3 linked regions of the Rattus norvegicus genome follow. The protein of the gene in region 1 binds, or shares a complex with, the protein of each later gene. Links are inferred from orthologs where the notes say so. Each region holds a gene or a part of one and is shown in the gene's direction. Other genes may lie near its edges.

The links.
Region 2: Vdac1 (region 1) and Ppif share a complex: the UniProt entries of both Homo sapiens proteins name them as parts of the mitochondrial permeability transition pore complex. The link is inferred for Rattus norvegicus from reciprocal best matches to the Homo sapiens genes VDAC1 and PPIF.
Region 3: Vdac1 (region 1) and Spg7 share a complex: the UniProt entries of both Homo sapiens proteins name them as parts of the mitochondrial permeability transition pore complex. The link is inferred for Rattus norvegicus from reciprocal best matches to the Homo sapiens genes VDAC1 and SPG7.

Annotation. Positions count from the first base shown.
Region 1 is NC_086028.1:37,046,709-37,050,208, forward strand, and holds part of Vdac1 (voltage-dependent anion-selective channel protein 1), read left to right. Parts: intron 1-458; coding exon 459-611; intron 612-704; coding exon 705-757; intron 758-3,500. UniProt on the Homo sapiens protein: Non-selective voltage-gated ion channel that mediates the transport of anions and cations through the mitochondrion outer membrane and plasma membrane.
Region 2 is NC_086034.1:1,262,532-1,266,800, forward strand, and holds the start of Ppif (peptidyl-prolyl cis-trans isomerase F, mitochondrial precursor), read left to right. Parts: upstream 1-1,469; 5' UTR 1,470-1,498; coding exon 1,499-1,690; intron 1,691-2,797; coding exon 2,798-2,828; intron 2,829-3,306; coding exon 3,307-3,395; intron 3,396-4,269. UniProt on the Homo sapiens protein: PPIase that catalyzes the cis-trans isomerization of proline imidic peptide bonds in oligopeptides and may therefore assist protein folding. Involved in regulation of the mitochondrial permeability transition pore (mPTP).
Region 3 is NC_086037.1:68,024,202-68,028,418, forward strand, and holds the start of Spg7 (paraplegin), read left to right. Parts: upstream 1-1,417; 5' UTR 1,418-1,436; coding exon 1,437-1,619; intron 1,620-3,579; coding exon 3,580-3,682; intron 3,683-4,217. UniProt on the Homo sapiens protein: Catalytic component of the m-AAA protease, a protease that plays a key role in proteostasis of inner mitochondrial membrane proteins, and which is essential for axonal and neuron development.

The DNA of each region.
Region 1 (3,500 bases):
AGTCAGTGCTTTTAACCACTGAGCCATCTCTCCAACCTCAGACGTTCCTGGCTGCCCTAGAACTCACTCTGTAGACTAGGAAGGGTGTAAACATGGAAGCTGGGTAGTTTCTTATCCAGACTTTAGGGCCCCAGGGGAGGAAGGAAGCTTCCAACAAAGAACTTTCCAGAAGGTTCCTTTGGGTAGCAGGCTCTCTCACACCTTTGTGTTTTTTTTTTTTTTTTTTTTTTTGGTTCTTTTTTTCGGAGCTGGGGACCGAACCCAGGGCCTTGCGCTTCCTAGGTAAGCGCTCTACCACTGAGCTAAATCCCCAGCCCCTGTATTTTCAGTTGTAATTGAACTGTATAGTTTTGCCTGGACGTATCGGGGACTCTCTGTTGCTTAGAGGCCTTGGCTAAGGGCAGATTGGACTGTAGGCCAAGATCTACTCTTTCTCTTTCCCTCTCTCTCCTTTTAAGGAATTTACTAGCTCAGGTTCTGCCAACACGGAGACCACCAAAGTGAACGGCAGTCTGGAAACCAAGTACAGATGGACCGAGTATGGGCTGACGTTTACTGAGAAGTGGAACACAGACAACACCCTGGGCACTGAGATCACCGTGGAAGACCAGGTAAGGGCTCCCTGCCTGCCCTCCTCTCGTTCCCATTGAAACATCCTGGGTCCTGCCTTGGGCTAACCTGTGCCACCTCTCTCTCATATGCAGCTTGCTCGTGGACTGAAGCTGACCTTTGATTCATCTTTCTCGCCTAACACTGGGTAAGGTTCTTACCCGAGAGGACGTTCTGGGATGTTATGGGCCCTGGAAGTCCATTGCAGCACAGGAGTTTGGTGTTTGGGCTGACGTCTTGTCAAAGTAGCCTCTTAGCTGGGAGGCTGGAGGCTGGAGGGTGGAGGGAATCGTGGGTTCAGGGCGAGCCAGGGCTACGTAGTGAGAGTCCACATCAAAACCAAACCGGGTAGCAACGACAATGAGGCAGCCTTGGTTCCAAGTGCTATCCGTTCTGGTCTGTGGTGGTGTTCTGTCCAGGAACACCATCTGTTAAGGGGCTGTGCTGTAGCAAGTATTCTCAGTTTAGGAAATGTATTCCTCCAGCAAATGGTTTTGTGTGTTCCTGTGCTCATTTGGAGACTGAGGGTGCCTGGACTGGGATGCTATTGCCCCAGGAACTTCCCTTTTACTTTTGACACAGAGTCTCCTGTAGCTCAGGCTTGCCTTGAACTCATTTTGTAGGCAAGGAGGATATTGAACTTGTGGCCCTCCTGCTTCTATCTCTCAAGCACTGGGGTCTTCTGCTCCCATACCCAGTTATGGGGTGCTGAGGATGGAAGCCAGGGCTTATGCAGGCCATTGGTGATGCACTCTACATCTGCACTGAGCTGTGTCTGCAGGGCTAAGGAGTGTCCTTGGTAGTGGAAGACTTAGCAGTGTTTGCTGCTAAGATCCCACAATACCGTTGTGTGCCTGGCTGCAGGCCACGGGCTTTCTGTCCCAGCTGTTCTGTTTCACACCAGGCTGCCAGTAAATAAAAGTGGCCAAGGCTGGGGTTGGGGATTTAGCTCAGTGGTAGAGCGCTTGCCTAGCAAGCGCAAGGCCCTGGGTTTGGTCCCCAGCTCTGAAAAAAAGAAAAAAGAAAAAAAGGAAAAAAAAAAGTGGCCAAGGCTGAAGGGCAGAGGTGGCATTTGGACTCAGGGGCTGACTGGTCACTGTTGTCAGCCTATTTTGTAGGTGTGGAGGGCTCTTCTCCCAGTTTTCTGAGACCCTGCGATCCTGGGAGCTTAACCACAAGGTGGCTCCTGGGGCTGCCAGGTCCTTTGGCCATAAACAGTGTAGGCTTGATTGACACATCAGAGGGCAAAGAGAACAAGCTGGTCTGCCTCCCCTTCTGAGTGCTCTACAGGGCTAGAAGGTTCTAGAATATTCTATACTCCTGAAATTTTTGCTCTTAGAATGGGGAGTCTCCTAAGTCATCAGGGGAAAGTTGTTTTGCCCACTGATGATTGAGTCCAGACTTTTACTAAATTTCAAGGCTTAAGTTTTTAGTTTGGCAGGTTTGTTTGTTTGTTTGTTTGAGGCAGGATTTCTCTGGGTAACAGCCCTGGCTGTCCTGGACTTGCTTTGTAGTCCAGGCTGGTCTCGAACTCAGAAATCTGCCTGGCACTGCCTCCATGGTGCTGGTATTAAAGGTGTGCACCACCATTCCCAACCTTTGGCAGGTTTTAGCTTGGCAGTACATGTATAAAGTACACCTCTACTGTCTTTTACGCCCATGGTTCAGCCGTGAGTTTTTATATTTTGTGATTCTGTGCTCTCTCTTCTCTCTTCTCTCTCTCCCTCTCTCCCTCCCTCCCTCCCTCCTTCCTTCCTTCCCTCCCTCCCTCCCTCCCTCCTTCCTTCCTTCCCTCCCTCCTTCCCTCCCTCCTTCCTTCCTTCCTTCCTTCCTTCCTTCCTTCCTTCCTTCCTTCCTTCCTTCCTTCCTTCCTTCCTTGATTGCCTGCCTATGCTTCTCCAGTGCTGGGATCAAAGGTGTGAGCGACCATTCGGGTACTTGGAACTGAACCTTGGTTCTCTGCAAGAGCAGCGGGTGCTCTCAACCGCTGAGTCATCTCTCCAGCCCCCTTTTCTTTTGAAATAGTTTTACAGTTTTTCTATAGAAAATTGTGATACAAGCAATACGCAGAGCTCCCTTCTATTTCTCCCCCGTCTGCATCTGATGTTGAAGTTTTATATCTGCCATCCCATTATAACACAGCACATAGTATATAATATGTAGCTGTTCACTACGTAATAGTATTTCAATCAAGCGCATATAGGACTCTGGCCCCTTAAGATTACTACGGAGCCGAAAAATTCCTGTTGTTCATTGCCGCCAAAGCACAGTGCATTTATCGAGTCTGTAATAATTGATACAAACGCCGCCCACTCTGTTATCTCCCTATAAAAGCCGAGCATGTGTAATTATGCTCATGTATTTGGGCCGAGTGTGTACCTGGCTTGGGTACTCACTCACCATGTTCTTCGTACCATTAGAGCGTGTTTCTTCTTCTAAAGTATTTACCGTGAGCCCGTGTGCTGTGTTCTGTTGCCTGCCTTGGACATCTGTCTTTTGGGTACACAAGGAGGTCGTGGTTGAGTGGTTAATCATGGCCATCTAGGTTTTTGTAAGTGCACCCTGTGATGTTTGCTTAATGGCCAAATGACCCAACGGTGCAGTTTTCAGGATGTGTCCCCGTCATACAGATCTGTGCCAACAAGTGAACGTTGGTGCCACACTATTAACTGATGCCTTGTTGATACCATCGTTCTGGCCCGGGACCCAGTTCTGGATCCTCCGTTGCATCAAGCGTTCAGGTCTCCTTTGTGGCCTCTCCCTGGGACACACTCTCCATCTTTCTCTGCCTCTCATGACCTGGACATTTTTGAGGAATTGGATTGGTCTGATGTTTCCTCCTGAGCACGTTCAGGTTATATTTTTGGCAGCTGAAGAAGCGGCACCTCGTT
Region 2 (4,269 bases), on another chromosome or scaffold:
GAAACCCCTGAAGATGACCCAGTCTATCAGCTGCTGGGGAGCTAGCAGAGTATGTATCTCAGCGGGGCCCAGTGTCTTCAGGGCTGGGCATATGCTTAGCTGCATACAGAGACCACTGAGGGCAGGACAGGAAGGACAGACAGACACCAGAATCCAGCCTGTGGTAAAGACAGAATTTGTCTTTGGTTCACACAAAGGGGAGTGAAATGTGTTCGCTAACGAGCTGGAAGATAGAACATGAAGGAAGTCAGGTAGAGGAGGGAACACTGTACCATCTGTGGCTCCCCTGCTCCTCAGTCTCTCAGCTCCTCCCCTTCTCCAGTCTCTCAGGACTTTGAGATCTTGCAGTGGAGAGTCCCCCCTATGCTCTGAATCCATACCCTGAGTATGCAGTCTAGGCTATGCCCGTCACTGTTGTCCACAGAGCAGTGTTTAACAGTTAACAAATCTCTCTCTCTCTCTCTCTCTCTCTCTCTCTCTCTCTCTCTCTCTCTCTCTCTCTCTCTCAAGTTTATTTATCCCCTGAATAGGTATGAGTTAAAAGCAAGATAAGTTTCTCATAACTTCCTTGGTTGCAGAAGGACTGGCCCAATCAGGGTTTTCTAGCCCTGGTCAGAGCTTTCTTCTCTTTCTGAGCCTCAGTTTCCTAACTGAGTATCGGGTTTGGCTCACATGCCCCCACTTGCTGGCATTCATTCGCTTCCCAGGCTGCTGCTGTGCCCCGAACACAAGGGCTTAAATCCCTGGCTGTGGCTCTGCTGCAGGCTCCTTTCCTTTTGTATCACACACTGTCAACTTCCCGGCATCCGTTCAGAATGGTTGCTTAAGAAGTTATTTGCAGGTGCATGCAGTCAGTAAGGAGGTGTATTCCAGGTGAGTTCTAGTGGGTGTAAATCTAGCCCAGTATCTTCCTGGCCTGGCTGGAAGTGATAGGGACAAACAAGGGTTGTCAGTGTGGGCTGGAGAGGAGAGGTCACCCTGGGACTGAGGCCTGGGAGATGCACTATTGATTGGGCAAACTGTATTTTCAGTCCTCTAGCCAAGGCACTGATCTCTAGAGGCAAAACGAGACATTCAGCCCTGGAGCAGGAGGCCTGAGGTCGGTCACCTTGTGGGTGTCGTATCTTTTTTACTTCTCTGTTCTTTCTGTTATCTCTCCCTTTCTGATCCACCTCAGAGCCTCCCACGTCTTTCTGACTCTCAGGATCAGTGTCTCTCTTGGTCTAGAGGCTCTTTCAAATGACTTCCGGTTCCGCGCGTGGGGCTACGGGATGGGGCACAAAGCACGAACTGATTGCGCTGCCAGATGCAACCAGCAGGGGACACTAGAGAACCAGTTCTGAGGGGGCGTGACGGAGGCGTGTAGGGGCGTGGTCTCGAAGCCAGAGGACCAATAAAGGCGATGGCACGCGGCCTAGGTATCGCTTCCTGGGTCGTACGACCTCTGTTGTGTCTGCTCTGAGTTCTTCCGCGCGCCCTCGCCCGACCCGTGACAGCGATGCTAGCTCTGCGCTGCGGTCCCCGCCTGCTCGGTCTGCTCTCCGGCCCGCGCTCCGCGCCGCTCCTCCTCTCCACGACCCGTACCTGCAGCGACGGCGGAGCCCGAGGCGCGAACTCTTCCTCCCAAAACCCGCTCGTGTACTTGGACGTGGGCGCCGACGGACAGCCGCTCGGCCGCGTGGTGCTGGAGGTGAGACTTGGCCGTAGGGAAAACCTGGACTTCCCGGGCCCCGTACTGTGCCTGGCACACCGGATGACCTTGGGCCTCAGTTTCCCTCTCTCAGAAGAAGCGGCATCAACTTGGTCCGTTTCCGGGCATTTCAAAACCCTGGAGGATGGGGGGGGGGGGGAGGGTGATATGGAAGAGAGAGGGAGGGCTAGTGTGGAGGAAAAGGTCAAGGTCAGATCGTACTGAGTGACAGCCCACTGACCGGCCAGGACTGACGTTGGGCTTCCTAGAACCGTCTGCGTCCAAGGTTGGACCCAGAGCTCAGGTGGGTGTCTGAGGTCCAGGTGTTGCCTGGTGCTCATTTGTTGGCCTGAGCACACTCGGGATCCGCCCCCAAGGCCTGATTACCTAAGAGGAGGCACATGGAATGAATGAGAAGGTTCTGAATTGGGAGCCCAAGCTTCTCCACTCTTTGAGGTCCACGTTCAACAATGGCTCCTGTTCGACCCTTGAAGAGAAAATTAGGAAACAGTCAAAATATCAGGAGGAGGCTCTAGGAGCCTTTTGGCTTGAACAAAGGTACCAGTTAGTGTTGGCTGCCCGATTTGCGAAGGGGGTGTGTGTGGCCAATATTTATTATTATGCCTCAGTTTCATCTTTTGGAGAATGAGGAGCATCTCCCCAACCCCATTTGGTGAAGAGGGATTCTTAAAAGAAGCCAAGAGTCAGGCTTGGATGAGGCCTGTCTGTCATTCCTCAACTGTCTGCTCCTTCCTTCTGGGGACCTCAGTTTCCCCCTGCACTGAGGAACATCAGCTGGTCCTGATGATACTCTTGGTCCAGGGACTCCTGCTGAGGACCTCCAGTTGACAATTCTGTCCCGGAAGTGGGCCAGGATGACAGTAGTTTCTTCTGATAAGAAACTGAGGCCGTCTCAGGCAAGCCTTGGTTGGGTTCAGGAAGCAGCTGCCAGGGATGATAGCTTTCTTGGCTGTTCCTAGGAGAGTCAGTGGGCATGGAGAGGAATGGTCCTGATGCCCTGGCCTCTGGGTGTGAACCTCGAGGGGGCTCTGCCCTGCACCTGCTTCTCGACTGACCGTCCTTTTCTGTTCTTTTTCTTCCCTGTAGTTAAAGGCAGATGTCGTGCCAAAGACAGCAGGTAAGGCCCAGATGTGAGCCAGCCAAGGCTGGTAGGCTTCGGGGTTGAATTAGAACAGACTGTGACGTGTGGGTATCTCAACTTAGGCATAGCTGATAGGTACCCCTAAGGCAGCCTTTTGTCCTTCTCTGGACCTCGTTGTCAGCTCTGCTAACCAGACCAAGAGTAGCTAGACAGCCCATAACCAGGGGAAGCCCCATGTAAGCTCCCCCCCATTTCTGCATGGCAGCACAGGGCAGGGTATAGTCTTTGGGCTCCTCACCCTGTTACCCTGACTGGCACAGCTTAGCGCTTGGATTCAAGCCACAGCACTTGCTACTGGCTCAAGGCAGGAAATTATGTGATCAGGAGTTGAGTCCAGAGGAGGGGCAGGGTCTTTCCACACACACCGAACCTGGGGGATTGGCAGGGAAGGCTGGCCTGCTCTTAACCCGCCTGTCTCCCTCCCTCCTCCCCCCTCCTCTCTCTCTCTCTTCAGAGAACTTCAGAGCCCTGTGCACTGGTGAGAAGGGCTTTGGCTACAAAGGCTCCACCTTCCACAGGGTCATCCCAGCCTTCATGTGCCAGGTAACAGGAGCACAGCCTCTGCTGTGACTGATCGGGATCACTGACAAGCAAGCTGGGCCCTGGGGCATGGAGGGGACACAGTGGAGGGCTGCTGGTGGGGGTTGACCCTGAGGCTTTGAAGGGCTATCAGAGTTAGACCGCCTCTAATCTTGGTATTCCCTGTGCCCTTGAGCACTGGGCCTGGGAGAAGAGGGGGTGGGGATAAGATGGCTAAGTCTGTCTTACATATGCTAGAACCTGGAGGGGCCTTGCCAGCGAAGGGCCTTTTCTTGGCTAAGTGAACACATTCTTTAGTTTCTTCCAGTTTTTTTACAAACATGCTGCATCAGGTTTCAGGCTAGGTGTTGACAACAAAAACCTCACGGGCAGACTCAAGGTCGGAGGCTGATGTGTGGAGACCAGGAGGCAAGCATAGATGTCATGGCCTCTCTGGAGTCCTTTCTGCCTATGCTCTTCTCTCCACTGTAACCAAGCAGCAGTGGGTTGGGACTGTGCCTACTGTCACTCTGTAATGCTTGGTTACCCATTGGGTGTGACAAAGTGAAGGAGAGGCAGGGCGGCAGGCAGGGCTGTCGCTATGGCTAAACCCAGTCAAGCCCTATAACCTTCCTGCTACAGAGGCTCCCAGCTCCACCTGGAGTTGGTGGGTGAGGTAGGGAACTGAGAGTAACTGGATTCAGGAAGGGACTTGCAAATTGGGAGAGCTCTTTATGGCTTGCCATGGTGGCCTCTGGAGGCACAGGCGAGGTGACTGGGGACACCTTATTGGTATCAGTGGATGCTTTAGCTGGACAAGGTTCACTCTTCCCATTTAAGGGTCCTGTCTCAGAGAAACCACAGTATGGCCATGGCCAACAACTGGGCATAGATAGAA
Region 3 (4,217 bases), on another chromosome or scaffold:
TTTAATTCCCAGTACCCACATGGCAGCCCACGACCATCTGTAAGTACAGTCCCACGGGATCCAATGCACTCTTCTGGCCTCCTTAAGCACCAGGCACATGCTCCCATGTAGGCCGAACATCCACACATATAAAATCAGTAAATTAATTAAAATGTTTATGGAGCTGGAGAGATGGCTTTATTATGATACTTGTTGCTTTTGCGGAAGAGCCAGGCTGATTCCCAGCACCCACATTATGGTCCACGATCATCTATAACTCCAGTCTCAGGGGATACAATGTCACGTTCAGACCTCTGAGGGCACCAAGCAGGCACACGTACACTTACATACATGCGGGTAAAACACTCATACACATAAAATTAAATGATTTAAACTTTTACTTCTGCAGGGTACCGTGGGTACATGCCTTTTTTTTTTTTTTTTTTTTGGTTCTTTTTTTCGGAGCTGGGGACCGAACCCAGGGCCTTCCTAGGTAAGCGCTCTACCACTGAGCTAAATCCCCAGCCCCGCATCCAGTTCTCTTAACAGCTGAGCCAGCTCTCTCTCCAGCCCCTGGACTTTAAAAGCTCCCCTCCCTCCTAAGATTGAGAGCACCGTTTTCCTACTCTCTATGCAGCTGCTGCTCTGTGGTCTCACACACCATTGACTTCTAAGTCGATTCTGTAGCCAGCCAGGAGCATCCTAAGGATCTCTGGTGTTAGGAAAAAACTGGTTCTGTTCATGCTTGTCAAGCCAGTACTCAGGAGGCGGAGCTTGAGAATCTCGTTTGAAGCCAGACTCTGTTGCATGCACAGTGATACTGTATTTAAAAAACAAACAAGGGGTTGGGGATTTAGCTCAGTGGTAGAGCGCTTGCCTAGGAAGCGCAAGGCCCTGGGTTCGGTCCCCAGCTCCGAAAAAAAAAAAAAACCCAAAAACTAGGAGGCACAGGTAGGTGGGTCTCCGAGTTCAAAGTCAGTCTGCTCTACAAAGAGAGGACAGCCAGGACCACACAGAGAAACCCTGTCTAGAAAAAACAACAACAAAAACAACAACAAGAAAATAAATACATAAAGGAGGGCAGAAAGTGGTCAACAGGAACCACCAATCGCACCCCAGAGAAAGAGGCAATGTGAAAACCGGATCACGTATCCACTTGCCAAGCACTGGAAACCGCAACCTGAAATGTAAATAAAACAAAGGCGAGACAAATACCGGGTAACCGTGGCCTGTCTCCACGGGAACCCGCAGGCTGGGGTTGCTAGCGTTAGCGCTGCGCTCCCTGCTGACACCGGAGTTTAGCCGCTAACCTTACCGAGACCAGAAGGTTCGCACCGCGCAGGCGTCGCAAGAAGCGCCCAACCTTCAACCCCGCGCAGGCGCAAAGGGCAACCGCCCTCCAAACCTGACCGTTAGGGCGGCCGGAGCCCCACTGCGCAGGCGCCGCTCTCGGCACCATGGCGGCCGCGTTGCTGCTGCTTCGCGCGCTCCGCCAGAGCCCGGAGCCCGGGCCCTGGCGGCTGTGGGCCCAGCTCTCAGGCAGGAGCCCCGGCCTCTTCTCCGGGGCCGGCGGTAGGCGGCCGTACGTAGTCCGTGGGACTCCGATTGGCCTGGCTGCGGCTGGAGGCCACACGCCTCAGGTAACCCGCTCGGAGCCCGGCGGCGGCGACGGGTGTGGCCGGTCCGCGCGGACCGGATGTGCACCTGCACCTTCCTCTTCGGCGAGATGCAGGGGGGCTGATGTGGGCTCCCCGGGACCTGAGGCAGCGTCTGCATCGGGTGGTCCTTCTATTCCTAGCGTGTGTGAGAGAGACGCCTTGTACCGTAGCCCCTGGTTTAGAACTGAGTCCTATTCACGTTTTTTTCTTCCTTTTCTGTCTGTGGTTGAAAGTTACTGACTTTTGTTGTTTCTTCATCTGTTTTTTTGTTTTTTTGTTTGTTTGTTTGTTTGTTTGTTTTTTTAGCTGAGTATAGTGAATTTCACTGATGGGATTGGTTGGAACAGTAGCGCTCTCTTGGTCCCTCCCCTTCTTGGGAGGCAGGTCTGGGATGGAAAGGAGGGGGAGATTCTAGATAATATGTTCATGGGACACCTGACTCCTCAAGCAGTGGAGGGCCTCCCTCTTCCTCTCATGCTCTTGCCGGAATAGCCGGCCCCTGCAGGCAGTGTAGACCCTGAGGCCCACCACCTTGTTGCTGTAGTCCGATTCGCTGCACCAGTCCACGAATCTGACAGAATAGTAGTTGAGTGGAATGACAGCCGCAGCATTAAAGATGGAAGAGTGGGTGTCACGGGCAAAGTCTCAGGCTACTGGGTCTCCCGGGATGTCCTTTAGGAGCGCTTCACCGTGACCTTCTTGATGTCATACGGTTGGCAGCTTTCTCCAGGTGGTAGGGCAGACTTTGGGTGAGCTTCCCTGGTCTTTAGCTCTGGGTTATGTCACCCACAGCCTTGGCAATGGCAGTCGATGCAAAGATGATGCTCTCGGCAGCTCTGTCGCCATCATGCAGGTTACCCTGAGAGGCCATGTAGTGGTAATGGCATGGATTGGCGTTATGAGTCCCCTCAGGACATGAAAGTTGACATAGATGGCCTGGGCGTCAGGGCTAAGCAACTGGTGGAACAGGAGGCATTGCTGATGCGTATGAGTGAGTTGTACTTCTCGTAGTTCGCAAACATGGCAGCTTCAGTAGAGCGGCCGAGATGTTGACCTTTTGGCTCCACCTGTCAAGTGGGCCCCGGCTTTCTCCACCGTAGTGAAGATATGAGTGGCCTTCGAAGTGTACTCAGCACCAGTGTGACCCCATTTGATGTTGGTGGGAATGTTGCCCCTAGAAGGTACAGATAGCCCTCCCGATGGTAACAGGGTTCCAGTTCTCAGCCTTAACTGTACCATGAAGCAGAGAGTGTCAAATTGGATTGTCGATCTTAACATTTAAAGGTTGATGGGTCATGGTTGTGAAGGTCTTTAATCCCAGCACTGGGAGCAGAGGCAGGTACATCTCTGTGAGTTCAAGGCCAGCCTAATCTACATATAAAGTTCCATGCCAGGCTAGCCAACGCTACATAGTAAGACCCTGTCTTGTGTGTGTGTTTGGAGGGTAGGGGAGAATATAAAAGGCTAATCCAACTGTGGAGCACATCTATAATACTAATACTTGGAAGGTCAGGATTTCAAAGCCATCCTCAGCAACATAGTAAATTCCGGCCAGCCTGAACCACTTGACGCAGTTACAAATGACAAAACCAAAAACGAAACAAGCTGTCTGTTGGTGGCATATGTTTATAATCTCAGCACTTGAGAGGATGATGCAGGAGGATCACTGAGTTTGAGGCTAGACTATCTCACAAAGACACAAAAGGAAAGGTAACACTCAACAGGAGTTAATGTGTATAGTTGAAGATGACTTTGGACTTTCGATGCTCCTGCATCCACCTCCTAAGCGCTGGGATTACAGGCAAGTGCCACTATACCCAGCTTTAAGCGGGTACTGGGGATCAAACCCGTAGCTTTCTGCATACTAGGCAAGGACTTGGATCCAGATCTGTGTTGTGGTGTGTGGTCTGAGTATTACCTCAGTCTTTCTCTTTTTTTACAGAGCTTGCTATTGCGAATACTGACCCCTAGCTTTGAAGGTGTTAGCGGATTGTTACTGAAACGGCATATAGTTCCAAGTGCAATCAGACTGTGGCAGCTTTCAGGTGTGTATGTATCATTGCATGTTCCATTACTGACGGACACAGATTTTACTGTAGTCCTCTAAGAGCATAGTGGAAGAGGACCATGGTCCTACATGCCTGTAATCCCAGCACTAAAATGGGGCTGCCAGTTGGAGGCCAGACCAGAACTAGCTAGTGAAACCCTGCTGTCCCCCTGCCTCCAAGCCCCCCCCCCCCCCCACCGAGATCACAGTGCTTGTTGTGATTTCAGTAGAGAAGTCTAGGAGCAGAAGGGTGTGCTGTGCGACCCAGGTATGCAGCAGAATCCGCCCTCTCAGTCAGTGTGTGCCCTGTAATCGAAGAGTGGCGGCGGCTCCTTGGCAAGTGACAAGTGACCAGTGACCATTAGCAGAACGACGACACTAGTTTGACGCTGGCTGGAAGACTAGTAACAGCCACTAAGAGCAGTGGTAGAGCGCTTGCCTAGCAAGCGCAAGGCCCTGGGTTCGGTCCCGAGCTCCAAAAAAAGAAAAAACAAAAAAAACAAAAAAACACCCGAGCCTCTGACTCTCTCCAG